Pelodiscus sinensis: one gene and its partner. The protein of the gene in region 1 purifies or fractionates together with the protein of each later gene. This does not show direct contact. Links are inferred from orthologs where the notes say so. Each region holds a gene or a part of one and is shown in the gene's direction. Other genes may lie near its edges.

Region 1 (7,852 bases):
AACTTAAAGCCAGCACCCAGGCCATATCCCGGAGCCAGCATCCAAGGCACCCTCCACCACACAAACTCCTTCCCAGAGTTTTAGGTGGGAGGGGGGTGGAGTTTGTGGGGGGAAGGAAGTCTTGGGTGTGGGCTCTGGGATGGAATCTAGGAGCCTTAGGCAGATGGGAGAGGGGTGGATCTTCTGGGTACCATCAGAATTTCTGAAAACCTGCCACCCCTGCTTTGGACTGCTCAAAAATGTCATAAAACAGAGTGCACATGAGATCTGTTCCTAAAAACTGAAAATAAAACAAATTCAGGTGAAACTGCAAATTCTTAAATTGTATATATCACATGGTAACTTTTAAAAAGTTGTGTTATAGTGTTGCTTAACAGCTCAAGTCATGGGCTAGAACCTCATGGTGCTAGGTGCTATATAAACATGCAGCAATCTCCTCCCACCCATCCCCATTGTCCCTGGGATTTTACAATCTAAAAATAAGATGAAAATAAACTGGTGCAGCACAGCATAAGAACGGCCATGCTGCATCAGACCAACGGTTCACTTAGCCCAGTATCTTGTCTGCAGACAGTGGCCAATACCAGATGCCCCAGAGGGAGGGAACACAACAGGTAATCCTCACTTGATTCCCTCCCCTGTCACCCATTTCTGGTAACAGAATGACTGGCTGGGGACAGGGCATGCTGCCAGTGTAATGACAAAAATGGCTTTTGTGATTACACCCTGAGCAGCATGACCACAATGCACCTAAGCTCCAGCCACTGGGGATCTGTTGGCCGGGCAGCACAGTTACTGCATTTTCAGTTCTCCCCCCCCCCCAAAACTCCAACCACCCTGCCCTGAGTTCCCACACCTGCCGACCCCTTGACTCCTGCACCCCCACATCACCACCTATTGCCCTAAATCCTCCTCTCCCTTAACCCCCAACCCTGAGCTCCCCTACACCTCTGCTAAGACAAAACATCAGATATCTTCAGATGGATAGGAGAGTACAAGGAAATAATGAGATAGCATTGAAATGAAATGAAATGGTCTTAGTATATTTTATACTATTTTTAATAATTGAAACAAAGATTATTTTCATACAAAAAAAACTACAGTTAAAGAACATATGACTATCTTAAATGTAAAAACATTAACATTACAGGGTTGTAATTATCCCATAAAAAAGCTTACAAACCCAGAAGTTAAGGTAAAACTTAAAAGAAATACAAACATATTTAAATATGGAAATAAACAGTAAAGGTATGTAAATAACATTAACTCTGTCCTGTATCAACATGATGCAATAATTTTTGTTTATGGTCCCAGATTATATTAAATTTACTCTAAAGACGTTGAGGACAATTGCAAAAAATTACTTACGGATTCAGTATGGAGCAGAGATGATGTCTGGATAAGGAAGGTCTGAATGCTAAAGGGCATATTGTAAAATTAATTTTATCCCAAACTAATTAGTGGATTACTTGTACATTATCTTTGAATACAGAATGAATTTTCTGATACAATGCTGTAATTCTGGGGAAGATATGCTGTATTCTTCATACATAAATCAAATGATTCACCTCTGTGTTAAGTGCAAAAATCAGTGTTAACTACAAAGCTGTGACTGGAAAACCTCAATAATAATCTCAGAAAATTATGAACTGCACTTTATTGTTTACGAGCTTATTTGTTCCTTGAAAGAGGACCCATCAAACACAGATAAAAGTTTCATCTTCAGAAACATAATGGACACATTTGACTGCACACATTGTAGAACCCGGATAGTGACTGTGTCATTTTAGGACTCTATGGCACTTAACACTCTTTTTAAAACTCAACAAATAAATTAGTGATGCATTTCACATAACTGCCTAGGGGTCTTAAAGAGGTCCCTTAGACAAGATGGGTGTGGTGACAATATATTTTATTGAACCACTTTCTGTTGATGAGAAAGACAAGCTTTTGAGTTACACAGAGCTTTTCTCCAGGTCTGAGAAATTTAATCAGAGTTTTTATCTGTGATACTCTGATTAAGCTTTCCAGAAGAAAAGCACCATGCAAACTAGAAAACTTGTATCTCACACCAAGAGAAGTCTGTCTAATAAAAGATATTATCTCTTTCATTTTATTAATATCCTGGGCCTGATAGGACTACAACACTCCATATTTTAAAAGGCTTTGCAATTTTCTGAAAGCTCCGATTTAACCTTTTTTCATGGAGCATCCTGTATTTGTCAGAAATAATTCCTTTTTGAGTGGCGAAAAACAAAAAGGAAATTTCAGACACACGCTGTTAAGTAGCAAAAGGGAAGAGAATAAGAAAATATATTTGTAAAAGGAGAGAAGATTTTATAAATCCCACAAAGAGTAATTCCCATCCCTGACCCAAACCTTGGAATCATGCATAGACACCAAAACACCAGGAAGGGGGCACAGTGAACTCCTGCATTTAACCACCATGGCCTGCTTAGCCACGATACCCAGCTACATTGCTGGCATTGCTCAAGTTCCAAGGATAGAGAAAGGCAAGCCCCTGAGACGCTCAATGGGGCAACACCAGTTCAGTCTAAGCCAGCAAATGAAGGCACAACCAGTCCCCTGCCTGTGGTAAGCATGGCAGTAAGTAGTGTCAGTCTGTTGACCATCAATTCTAGTACAGCCTAATAGCCATGTTGCTCACTGGAGGGGTGGGAATCCAACCAGGTCAAAGTGTGTACTGGCCTGTGACCTCCCAGGAGATATGGGCCCAGCTCCAGCCCCATTCTGTCGCAGGCCCAAGGACTGAGCGGGGGAGGGAAGGAGCTTCGCTAAGGGTCCCCCTTGCTTGAATTACAGCTGACTACGGAGCCTTCTCCAACTTGATGGAGCCTGCTGTAGTGCACATTAATTCACTACCAGCCCTGCTTCCGTGAGCAGTCAGACTACCTCTGCTAAAGAACTGCGTAAGAGATCCAAGCATGTGCATTAAACAGCAATGAAGCCACAGCTGTCACAAGTGTCCTGAGTGCCTGTCAGACTTGGCTGCAAGAACGAGGGCTGGGGGAGCACAGAGAGCAGTACAGAACATGTGGGGACATGACAGCAGGAGAGGCGTAGAAGCAGAGAGGAATGGGAGGGATGGGTCCCTTATAGGAAACTTAGAGAAATACAGGGCCTGTGAAGAAAGGTGGAAATGTAGGCTGCATGTAGTTCCATGGAGGGGCCCACTAACAAGCTCCATGCACTTGTGCTGAGCTGGGTGCCATCTTAGTGTAAGATGCAAAAATAACACATAGATTAAAAATTAGAGAGCTAACAGAGTTCTCAGAGATGTAAATCCAGTGAAAGCTGGATTTAACAGATAAAATGTAGGAACTCTCAGACACCTGCAGCCAAGGGCAATCACTCCCAATGACAGGGTACTAAATGGGAGCAGGGGGAGAGATTTTTCTCCAAACCTACTAGTGTTGCAATGTATGGATGTATTAAATAACTTTCCCTATGCCCCATAGTTGACTCCATTAAGGAAGAAAAATGGTCTGGGAGGGACCAAATCACAAATGAATTAAGTATAATTGAATGGTTATTGCATGGTATCACTACAGAGTTAAGGTTATTTGGGTGCCTTAGTGTTAATTAGGTGCATTAACATGCTGATATTTCTTTAAAATGAAATTTAAAGTCAGCATATTTTGGAAATCACTGGAATATTCCTGTAATTTTGTACACTTGTTACTGGTATTTACTCCTAACATAAAATCCCTCAGTCTAATTTTTGTCTTGGAATAGACATCTTCCAGTAATCATCATATACAGTATAGACCTCAATAGCATTAAGATGGAGAGGGGCAGAGAAATTGTGTTCAGAATGAAAAAAGGTGATAAAAACCATGTGGGGGGCCTAACACATTGAAGAAATAACTCAAGAAAGTTCCTCATTGTACAAATATTACCTACATTTTGTTGCCACTGATCAGTTATCTGCTGTCCATGGGGACATTCAAGTAAAAATTACCTAGAGTGTGGAGAAGAGTTCAGATTGTATAATTGACATTTTCTGATAATGATTCAACATTCACTTATTTTTTTCCCCTTCTTCTTGGCCCCTTCTTCTTGCTTACCAATGTCACACACAACAAGGAGGGTCATTCCATTACAAAAACCTGAAGAGAGGTCAGAACTCCTTCTCTGTAGAACTCCCCACTGATTCCCACTCAGCGACTGAGATTCAATCCTTAATATTTATATGAGGCTTTTCTTTAGTCCAAGTTTATGAAGCATTTAACTAATTAGTCTTCATTTAGTGCCTGATCTTACTGTTCTTACTGACTGCAAAATTCCTGTTGATCTCTCTTGGAATTTTGTCTGACCAAGGACTGGGAGTTCTATCTCCTAATCAATTTTGTGTTCAGCTCAGTAGTGCTGTTGCTGCAAAGAAGGCATCTGAAATAGGGTTTGTTGTAAACCCCTATTTCTGTAGCGCCCCTGTAGCCAGAGAAGCAGCTGTCCCATTGCTGACATTCTCCCTGCCAGGCATTCCAACTCTCTGAGGTAACAGGCTACAAGCATACGGGTTTCACTTTAATCTGTCAGCGTATCCTTCCGCATGGATAGAGCCAGAGGAACGCCTCCAGCAAGAGAAATTACATGCACAGGGAGAGCGAGCGAGAGAGGACTTGGAATACTGTATTCCAGAAAACTCATGTTGTGGCCAAGCCTCACAGCGCCCTTTCCTGTCTGCAAAGCTGGCTGCTGCGGCAGGTTTATTTGGCTGCAATATTGTTCCCCTCCCCGACTCTTTACCCAGTGGAATGATACCCAGTGGAATGCTATCCAGAGCAAGGGCTTTGAGACAGGAAGTGAGGCGTGTTTTCACTATGAGTGATCTGAGAAGCAGGCGGGTGAGCGGAGGTAGCAGCTGTTTCGTGCAAGGGGCGCACAATACCCCCGTTCCCCAGGAATTTAGATGAGACGGCTTCGGGGGAAGAGCTCTCAGCGGTGCTGATGGGGGTGTCACAGCTCACGATGTGGGCAGGGACACGCGGTGGCTTTGGATCACTGCAGCAGGTAATGGGAAAGGCTCGGGCACTGTTGGAAATAACATGTTCTTCCCCTCTTTGTTCTGTGCGTTCAGGCTACACGGGCTTAGGCATTTCCTTTAAGAGAAATAAAAGCAGTCTGGAGAGGCGAGGTCAGTGTAGCTTTCAGGGCCTTTTCGCTCTGTGTAGAAGAAGTTTGCGATGTGCGCATTTGGCTCTTACTCTTACCGTTAGTCCAGAAGTAAGTAAAACCAGCGGTTGACTGGTAAACATGTAACAAGGCGAGGGAAGTGGTTTTGTTTTAGGCTTCGTTCGCCTCGTATTTATAAAATAAGTTTATACATTTAAATAATTGAAATAGCAGAAACCTAATTTCTCCTCCCTGTGTTGCACTTTTATGTTGCAGACTGTCTGTCATTCCTGTTATGATGAAATGCTTTACAAAGTTAAATGAATTTAAGAGGTCCTTGGTAATTCTGTTTGGTTTGTGGCCAGATTGTGCTAAATTCTTATCTAAACTTTATGTGTCGCATGAATGGATGAATGTAGCAAGTGAAATTCTTTTTTGGCTGATGTATGAAAATTCTAGGCCTACTAAATAAAGACTTGTAATTTCAGGAGAGTTGATTTCATTTGCAAGCATTGGCACCTTAACTCGGTTCTCCCTCTCTTTTTAAAGCATAACAGTATATATACACACACATTTGAAGTAATGCCCAAGACAAATATGAAGCAGATGGTAGAGCAAAATGACAGCTGCTAAATGAAAACAAAACTGGCCAGCAGTTACTTATTGAATGACTGTTGGGCATTATTCCCCAAATCATGTTCTTATTTGTTGGATACAAGTGTATTTTACAATATGTTAGGGGCTATGTATGTGATATGGATTGAAAATTACATACGTGTAATTACTTAATTTCACTATAGCTTTCCTAAGAATAATCTTATAAAGTGAAAATAAGCATGTTTCATATGTAAGCAAAAATTATCAAAAATATAATTCAGATAAAGTGAAAATTAGTTTGTCATCGCCAGGGAAGCATGCAGAGAATACAATATGGCCTTCAGAATGTACCTGGCATGTTCAGAATGTACCTGGAATGTTCCTATTTAACAGAGTAAGAAGTCTTATATAAAATTCACTCCTGTGCATAAATCTAGTTTTATTAAAGAAATAACTAACAGTGAGAATCCAGGGAATCTGACACTTTCATTAAGTAAACGTCATTTGTCAGTCACTTTGGAGCTAGTGCGTTACATAGCACCCAAATAACATCTTCAAAAAAAAATCCTTAGAGTTAAAAAGACTGAAAGTCGCTATTGTTTAATTGTATCCTTTTAAAATGATGTAAAACAGACTTAAAGTTCTGAGAAAAACTGACTAAAAGCTCCATAATTTGTTTTTGGTTTTGGAACTAGAAGAATGAGACGTGCATAATCTATTCAATAACAAGACACAGGAAACCGAGCTTGGTCAGTGATCTACAAGTTTCACTGCAAGGAATAAATCCACTGGGGGATTCTGCCCTCAGCATGCAGAAACGCTGCAAGGTTCTGTCTGTGGAAACTTTCCTGCATAGTTCTTCTATATAATGATACAATGCGGATCAGTGTACAGAGCAAACAGGAAAGCCTGGAAACCCCACATCACCCTAGGCAGGGAAATCTTATTCCATCAATTGTTATTGCATTCTAGTAGTAATTCACTACTTAGAAATTTGTTAGGTATTGCATATGTGTACAGGGAGACAGTCCAGTACAGCTTACCTAATTACTTGCAGTCTTCTGTAAGTATGTTACATATAAGGGCACAACTTGCTCCAAATCATTAGGAGCATTACCATGCAAAAAGGTCTTGGAGGGTTTCCTGATGTGGGGACTGAAGTAGGTCACTGAGGTGCTGCTTCACCTTGTCTTCTGTGTCATGGGGTTGTCTGTCTATTTTTGTCTACTTTTATTGCCATCCATAGTGCCTAACAAAGGGGAACATGGAGCTCAGTAGGAGTTTGTTTTGAATTTTCCTGGATGGAGTCAGAATGATTTTATATAATAGAGATTGCCTATCTCCTAGAACTGGAAGGGACCTTGAAAGGTCATTGAGTCCAGTCCTGTGCCTACACAGCAGGACCAAGTACCACCCCAATGAATTTTTGCCCCAAATGGCCTCCACAAGGATTGAACTCACATCCCTGGGTTTAGCAGGCCAATGCTCAAACCACTGAGCTATCCCTACCCCCTAATTCAAATATTTATATGTTTTAAGAAACTAAAAGGGAACTGTGTGCCTCCCTCATCAAAATTAATCTGTATTATGGAAATAAGGTATATGATTTAACAAACTGCGAGGGGAGTTGTCTCAGAAATCAATACTTTTAGAAATATAATATTAACACATGCTAGTCCAAATAAATGTTGTTTGGAAGACTTTGGAAATGAGTTGATGTTTTGATTCTCTCCAAACTGTGAAAGAGAGAAATCACGTGCAATACTTTGTTGACAAAATGATGTACATGATTTGACAAACTTGTACGCTTTTACCCACAGTAAATATTTGCTGCCATACTACAACACTGCTAAAAATAAGACTTGATGGTAAATACTGACAGGTCTTTAGCTACTGTGATAGAGCAGATAGTTAATAACTGCTATCACAGTTAATGTTGCAGAACATGTTGTCTGTAGCAGTCTGGCGTTTCATTGATGATTGGCTTAATTATTAAATTCCATAGTGTAGTAACTAGTACCTTCAAGGCTAGGTTTTTGTAGCACTGAAGCTAGGCATATGGCTTGATAATTACAGAATCACTTTTTGCCTAGGTACAGAGTTAATCTCTAGTTCACAG
Region 2 (8,137 bases), on another chromosome or scaffold:
CCACCTATCTAGCCATGCCCTGTCCCCCATCAGCACTCTCTTTAGTCACATCCTATCCCTTACAGCCACACCCTCTCTAGCCATGCCCCAGACCCTGCACCAGCCACATCCTCTTTAGTTAAGCCCCCATCCCTGACAACCCCTTCCCCTCACCTGCAGGCTGCCAGCACAGCCTTGTGGGCCAGCAAGGGGCGTCCCCCCACCAGCAGGGTGACATCGGTCAAGACGTGGCGGTGGCGTAGCTGGTCCAGGTTCAGCAGCACGTCGCCGGCGTGGCGTGTGAACTCCCGGACGCAGCCAGCTGGGCCCCTGGCAGTGCCCCTGCTCATGGCGCCTGCAGATACAGGGGTGGGGAGGGTTCCCGCAGGCCAGATGTGTATGTGGAGGGGAAGAGACAGGGCTACTCAGAGGGGAGGGTAAGACACACAGAGTAGAGGGGCAAGAGTCTTGCATTCCAGTTCCCCTCCCTGGCTCTAACCCACCAGCCCCCGCTCTCCTCCCACAACCAAGGAGAGAACCCAAGAGTCCTGGCTTTCAGCCCTTTCCCCCCGCTTTAACCCACCAGCCCCCACTCCGCTCCCAGAGGCAGGAGAAAACCCAGGAGACCAGGTAATGACAGCTCACCCTGACCAGCAGGGACCCTCGGACACTCCTGCCAGCAGGACTTTCAGGGTGTAGAGGGGTGGTAAAGTCCCAGCTGTTCCCCCGGCCTGGAGAACCAGCCTCCAATAACTCAGCAGGGCTGGAGGCTCTTATAATGTCCTGGAGGGACAGGGGGAAGTTCTCTCTCTAGTTCACATCCTTCCTGCCCCGGCCCAGCTGCCAGGGAAAAGGCGGGGGGTGGAGGGGGGTTATTAATAGACCTTTCAGGAAAAAGGTAGGACAAATCCCAGATCCACAAACAAATGCAGCTCCCCACTCTAACTGCTAGTTCTCATATCCATCCCAGAGCCAAGGCAAGAACTCAGGAATCCTGGCTTCCAGCCCCCTTGTTCTACCCCACCAGGCCTGACTCCCCTCCCAGAGCCCGAGAGAGAATGCAGGAGCCCTGGCTCCCAGCCTCTCCTACTCAAGTCACCCCATTGCTATGCTAAGACACCCTTGGTTCCCCAGACCCAGGAATTGGGAGGAAGGGACTGGGATTTGGGGTGGGGGGCAGCTTGAGTGTTAGGTCTCTGAGTGAATTTGCTCTGTGCCATTTCCTCGTATTGTCTTCGCCTGTGCTGAGGGGCCAGGGCCGGGGGGAAGGCACGGAGGTGGGAATATGATGGGAGGAGGAAATAGACTGTTTGTTTTGGACCCCGATCCCAAGTTTGACGAGATTAAGACACACTGGTCTGGGGGGGCAGGGGAGCAATGGGATAGCTCAAACACATTCAGCTCAGTGCCAAGTGAGGGGTCCCCATGTAACTGGCCGTCCTGCCCCAGAGGTGGCCAAATCTCAGCACTGGGAGAGGGGTCCCTGTGTAACCCGCCACCTCGCCCCAGAGGAGGCTGCATCTCAGCACCAGGCAAGGGGTCCCCGTGTAACCAGCTGTCCTGCCCCAGAAGTGGTCGCATCTCAGTGTCAGGCAAGGGATTCCCGTGTAACCAGCTGCCCCATCCCAAAGGTGGCCAGGTTGAGGGGTCCCTGTGTAACCAGCCACCTCACCCCCTAAGATGGCTGTACCTCAGCACTGGGCGGGGGGCCCTTGTATAACTGGCAACCCCACGCTAGAGATGGCTACATCTCAGTAGCAGAAAGGCGTCCCTGGATGTTTCTGGACACAAAGCCTTTTGTGGTACAGCAACAAATGCAGGAAAAGCTCAGTGGGGAGGGAGGGTGGGGTTCCCCAGGCAGTGACATCATTCACTGCGGGGGGAGGAAGACAGCCTAGCAGCGTCGTGGGTTGGGGCACATTTAAAAGGCAGCTTGAGCAGCCCAGCTTCATTTGAAGCCATTCCCTGTGCCCAGGGCTGCACCCGCTGCCACCTTCCTCTCCGCATTGGTCTGCTGAACCCACATTTGTATGTACCAGCAGCACCAGGGCTCCCAGCCCCCACCAGCAGCAGAATCACTGTAGTTCCAGGACTTGTTGGCACCAGCCTGTGGCCATTCTGTGGCGCTGTGGGACTGCGGAGCTCCCTGACTTGCAGTGTCAGCCCCTTGCTAAGCAGGTGGCATGCTGCAGAACTGGGCCCTGATAACGGGAACTGAGCACCAGGACTTCTGGGTTCTAGCCCTAGCTGTGATGTTGGGTCAGTCCCATTCTGCTGTTCCTCAGTTTCCTTTCTCACATCAGACTGTCAGCTTTTTGGGTCAGGGATTTTCTTTCAGTGTGTGTCTGGGCAGAGTCCTGCCTGAAGGAGCCATTCTCCCTAGATTAGCTATTCAGATTTTCCTGGTGGCTGCCTGTGTGGATGGTGTGGGGAAGTGGGTTTCCAAGTCCCTCTCTCTTATTGGTTTAACGAGGGGAGGGAAGAGGGAATTGGTTGTTACAGGAACCAACACAGAACTGGAGAGTCTGGCCAGTGGGCTGGAGAATGGAGACCCCGGTGACTGGTAGGGTTCCCAGGGGTCCGGTTTTGAACCGGACAGCCTGGTATTTGAGCTTTCTGTCCAGGAAACAAATTGAGAAAATACCGGACATATAAATGTCTGGTATTTTCTAATTAAGTAAGTTTTAATATTATCATGAGTATCAGTACGCAACTACGCAGTAGAGAGGAGGGAGGTGAGGCCAGGGCCAGGGCTAGGGCCGGGGCCGGGGCCGGGGCGGGATGGAATCCCTGGGGCCAGATTTGCTCTTGCGCCCCGCCAGGGCCATGCACAGGATGGGCAGCACCCCGGGATCTGCGTGCACCCGGGCCAGTCCCGCCGGCCAGTTCCTCCTCCACTCCCCTCCCAGACAGCCCCGCTCCCCACTGGCCGGTTCCCCACAGGCCAGCCCCACTCCCCCCTGGCCAGCCCCACTCCCCCAAACCCTCTCCCGGCCAGCCCCACTCCTCACCGGCCACTTCCCCCCCGGCCAGCCCCAATCCCCCCAACCCTCTCCTGGCCAGCCCTGCTCCCTTTGATCCCCTCCCAGCCAGCCCTGCTCCCCCCAATCTCTTCCTGGCCATCCCTGCTTCCCACCGGCCGTTCCCCCACCCTGATCTCCTCCGACCAGCCCTGCTCCCCCCAACCTCCTCCTGGCCAGCCCCGCTCCTTTCCCGGCCAGTCCTCCCCCCAATCTGAGATCAAGTGTGTCTGGTATTTTTTTTAAATCATCTGGTACCCCTAGTGACTGGTGACCCCAGCCCAGACAGTAGAGAGAGGACCCCAATGACCTATCCAGCTGGTTCCAGCCCATGAGGACAAAGGACAGATGAGGGGAAAGAGAGACAGAAAAGAGAGGGGCCAGGGCAAGCTTGTTTACCAGGACAGAAGACATCGACAGCCATAGGACGGTTTGGGGCAGCCACCCCAGGCCCTGTGCCACCCCAGGCCCTGTGCCTTTGGGGTCTCTGTAGTGACCGCCAAAAACATCCTATAGACAAGACCCATGGCATTACATGGTGCCTGGGGCCTGAACAGGGGTGGGGCAGGGCCTGCAGCGGGTGGGGGCCCTGGAAATTAGGACAGCCATGGGGTTTGGGGGCAGGGAATATCAGAGGCCCAGATAGGAAGTGCTCAGGGCGCAGGATAGGAGGGGGAACAGAGCACCCAGAGCCCACCTGGCTTCAGGGAAGACTCAAACATGCTGGCTGTGTCTAGACTGAAAAGTTTTTCTGCAAAATCAGATGATTTTGCGGAAAAACTTGCCAGCTGTCTACACTGGCTGCTTGAATTTCCGGAAAAGCACTGACAATCTAATGTAAAATCATCAATACTTTTCCGGAAATACTATGCTGCTCCCGTTCGGGCAAAAGTCTTTTTCCGAAAGACTTTTGCCCAAAAGGGCCAGTGTAGACAGCATAGTAGTGTTTTCCGAAAAAAAAGCCCCGATCACGAAAATGGCGATCGGGGCTTTTTTGCGGAAAACCGTGTCTAGATTGGCCACGGACGTTTTTCCGCAAAAAGTGCTTTTGCGGAAAAGCATCCTGCCAATCTAGACGTGCTTTTCCGAAAATGCTTTTAACGGAAAACTTTTCTGTTAAAAGCATTTTCGGAAATTCGTGCCAGTCTAGACGTAGCCGCTGTGCTGAGGGAGGCCAGGCCTACCAACCCTGACAGTTTCTATGCTGTGTTCAGACGCTAAATAAACCCTCCTGTTTTATAGCTGAGAGTCGTTTTGGTCTGGAGAACAGGGCTGCATTATTCCCTCTGGGAGTGCAGGCTCAAGGGTCCAGGACAAGTGCACTCCCTGAGGGGGCCCACAACAGAAACAGGCATGCTGGGGGCTCAGAGAGGTGCAGTCCAAGGAGTTAAGGGGCTTAACTCCCAAAAGAGAGTGGCCCCTGAGAAGAGGCTGTCGCAGGGAAGGGGGTTCCCCCAGAGGCTGCACAGGGTCAAGCATGGGCACAAATCTGCAACAGACAGGCTACCAATAATCTCCAGGACTGATAAGGTAGCAGGAGAGGCTCAAGGATTGATAATGCTGGAAGGGAGCCAGGGATGCTAAGCAGGGCCCAGGAAACCCTTCTGCCAGGGAAAAGGCGGGTATCCAGTTCCCCACCCAGAGCCAGGCCGCTCCCTCCCACAGCCAGGAAGAGAACCCAGGAGTCCTGGCTCCCAGCCCCTCCCCGACCCAACCTCCAGCTCTGCTCTAACCCACCACCCCTCACTCCCCTCCCAGAGTGGGCGGGGGACCCTGCCTCCATCCCAGCCCAGGGTGGGCCTAGGTTGCCCCTCCCATCCCATGCTCCCCCCACCGGAAGTGGCAGGAATTCCCAGCCCCACGTGACCCTATCTGGAATGTGGTGTCGTCATCGAGGGGGTCCATTAAAAAGTTTTTGGGGGCAGGTGGGGGAGGGGGAACTTTTCCGGGAAGTTCGGAGCTGGCTGGATCCGGAAGCTCTAGGACTCTTCCCTGCGAGCCAGGGACCCTCCCAGCGGGGCAAGACAGGAGGCGGTGGGACCCCCCGCCGGGATTCCCCCTCGGGGTTAGGTAAGTAGCGGGTCCCTCCTCCCCGCAGGTATTCCCCCACGTGACCAGAGACACCCCCTCCTCGCACCTCTCCTCCCCCCGGGCACCCACGGGGGGGGGGAACCGGAGCAGGCTGGAGTAAGACCCCCACACCCGTGGGAATCCTTCCCAAAACCAGGGCTATGAGGCCAGGTGCGAGTTACATCATCCCCCCCCCTCCCCCGCGGCTACCAGGGCTGCCCCACACCCCTCCCAGAGCTGGGGAGAGAACCCAGGAGTCCTGATTTCTCGCTCTTCCCCCTCTAACCTCTCTACACCACTCCCCCCACAGGTCCCCGAGATGTCCGGTCCCACCTGGCTCCCCCCCAAGCGGGCAAGTTCTTCGGGGTCTCCCGGCGTCTCAGTCTCTGCTCCGGCGCTTTGCAAACCCCAGAAGAAACATGCCACGGGCCCTGCATCCCCCCGGTTGGCCCCCCAGGAACAGAACGGGGAAGGCATGAGTGGGACGGGCTACCAGCCAGAGGGCCCCGGTAAATACCTCCCCCTCCCCCCATGCCCGATGGGTCTGATCCAGGTGAGGGCAGTGGATGCCTGCCTGGGTTGCAAGGGAGCAAATCAGAGCAGAGGGGCTGGAAGCTCACACTCCTGGACTCTCCCCCCAGCTCAGGGAGGAGAGTGGGGGCTGATGGTTAGAGCAGGGGGACTGAGAGCCAGCACAGAGCAGGAGGGGTCTGACTCCTTTTTCCCTCTCTAGGCAGCCTCTCCCCCCATCATCAGGATCCCAGGGGGCCGGCCCCCCTGCTTTCTAGCTTTGGCCCCCTGGCTGGCTCCCAGCATCATCACCCATCTGTCTCTGGGGCCAAGGATGAGCGAGGCCTGGGGGCACCGTGGGGGGCTGCCCTGTCTGCTGCACGAGGATACCACATCCAGGTAGGAGGTGGAACAGGAGGGAGGATGGGCCAGAACATGGAGTCCTTGTAAAGGCAGGACTCAGGGTGAATTTCCTTATGTGCATGGCATTGGAAGGGCATCCCCCCAGCCCGGAGCACCCCTCAAAACCTCTCCTAGCCCTCAGGGATTTGAGGTAGTAGAGGAAGTGGGAGTAAAAGCTCTCCCATAGGGTGACAGCACAGTATCCTTGAAGGCTTAATTTTCCCATAATTAATCTGCCTTTGTCATAGGGGGCACAGGAGAAAGTGCCTTCCTGATCCTGCCCATCTCATGCCCTAGAGCATAATGCCCGATTTTTGTTAACTTGTGGAACTGCCTGCCACTAGGTCAGCAGCTGCACTCTGTGATTCCATCTTGCAAGTCTGGACTGTACCATACAGCCCCCCTATCTCTACACTCTAATCTGCTGTCTGTTTCCTTAGGGATCTGCCCTAGATCCAGGACCCCACCGCCCTTCCAGCATTGACGCCCAAATAGATTCACTCACCCATATGCTGGCAGATATGGAGAGCACCGGCCCCCAGCGCCAGGGAGAGAGGCAGGTAAACAGCCAGGAGGCTTTGGGGCGGTGGTTTCATTGGCACAGACTTTCCCACCAATGAAATGTCAGCCCTATGATCACTTCTTTCCAAGTACCTTCTTGCCCCTCTCCTTGCCATCATATGGCAACACCAGTGCCCAGCATCTCCAGAACCACTGGATCCAGACTCCACATGATGCCATTGGAAAGCAAAGACCCAGAACTTCCAGGTGGTATCAGCTACCCATTTCTCCTTCCCCCAGTTCTCCAGGTATTAGCCACTGGAAATTACTTTCCAACCTACATCCTGCGGTAAGGGAAATCAGGATGGTACACAGGAGTCACATTGGGCCTCTTTTAGTGCCTGATTTCTCCTGAACCATTGGGCATAGAGATGTCATGTGCTGCTGGAAAGCTAAAAATCCAAGCTTGCTAATGGAGTATGCCACAAGCTTTCAGCTTCGACGGTTTGTGCAATATTGATGGTTTTATGGGACCATTGTTGATGTAGCCAAAGTTGAGCGTTAACTTGCAGTCTTGGTGGGTTCCTTGGGGAATGGTGGCTCTTTTGATGTGTTGAGGGTTGGGGTGGGGAGCATTTTGGGGTGAGGTGGATTTGTAGGCTAGGGAGTCATTAGATATCCCCCCAAGTACAGCAGGGATCCCCAAATCCTCACCTATCTGCTTCCAGATGTCTGTTTCATCTTCTCCTTTCGTCTCCAGAACTTCGACTCTGTCCCGTATCCATCAGCAACTGCCCCCCCACAACCTGGCGCCCACAAAATGCCCAGCCCTTACAAGCCAGGCTCCTTTGCCCCACCCTGTGCCTCCAAGAGCTCATCATATGGGCCGTTGCCCCAACCTGCCACCTCAATGGCTCCCTCCGGGCCAGCTCCCCCATATGGGGCTGGCTATCCATGGATGCTGCCTGGGCAGAAGCTGTATCCACAGCCTATGCCTGCATCCTACACCACGGCCTCCACATCAGCTGGGCCAGCCTTCAACATCCAGGTCAAAGTTGCCCAGCCAGTGTTAGGCTATGGTCAGCCGAGACGCCGGGCTGAGCAGGCTTATGCACCCCCATCACCCGGAGCTGGCCGTGGGGCCCAGTACGGCTCAGAGCCAGGTGGCAGGGGGGTGGAGGGCTGGTATCTGGAGCCTGGGGGCTATGGCAAGAGGCTGGGTGAGGGGGAATGCTATGAGGCAGGAGGGCTGGCGAAGCCAGGAGAGGCATCCGGGACTCAGTACCAAGCTGCTGTGGGGACTCCAGGAAAGGAAGAGATGGCGGTGTCAGCAAAGGTGCCCCCTGGTGACAGAGGAGGATACCAGCACCAGGTAATGTGAGAGTAAATGGGCCCCAGGGGCATGAGGGGCAGCCACACATGTAGGTCCTCTGGGACAGGAGTGGGGGGCTGGTGGGTTAGAGCAGGAGAGCCTGGGAGCCGGGATTCGTGGGTTCTGTCCTGCTAGGGATCATCCCAGCTCCTGTAGGGTGCTAGGGTGGGGGTGGGGAATCAGTGTATGCGAAGCCTCCAGCCAAGGTTTCCTCCTCTGTCCCAGACCCCCCTGAGACGCCCGGAGGAGGAGCTGGATAGACTGACCAGGAAGTTGGTGCATG

Evidence for each region.
Region 2: the proteins of PTPN21 (region 1) and thyroid receptor-interacting protein 6-like purify together in Homo sapiens (affinity purification with mass spectrometry; 3 studies listed by BioGRID and IntAct, with this or other methods). This does not show direct contact. The link is inferred for Pelodiscus sinensis from reciprocal best matches to the Homo sapiens genes PTPN21 and TRIP6.

Annotation. Positions count from the first base shown.
Region 1 is NC_134714.1:34,178,680-34,186,531, forward strand, and holds the start of PTPN21 (tyrosine-protein phosphatase non-receptor type 21), read left to right. Parts: upstream 1-4,612; 5' UTR 4,613-5,034; intron 5,035-7,852.
Region 2 is NC_134734.1:9,899,480-9,907,616, forward strand, and holds the start of thyroid receptor-interacting protein 6-like, read left to right. Parts: upstream 1-4,855; 5' UTR 4,856-4,876; coding exon 4,877-5,069; intron 5,070-5,379; exon of another isoform or gene 5,380-5,388; coding exon of another isoform or gene 5,389-5,578; intron 5,579-5,802; coding exon 5,803-5,978; intron 5,979-6,421; coding exon 6,422-6,541; intron 6,542-6,547; exon of another isoform or gene 6,548-6,613; coding exon of another isoform or gene 6,614-6,790; intron 6,791-7,242; coding exon 7,243-7,854; intron 7,855-8,079; coding exon 8,080-8,137. Other genes in the region: BCL6B (B-cell CLL/lymphoma 6 member B protein), read right to left, coding at 154-329. UniProt on the Homo sapiens protein: Relays signals from the cell surface to the nucleus to weaken adherens junction and promote actin cytoskeleton reorganization and cell invasiveness. Involved in lysophosphatidic acid-induced cell adhesion and migration.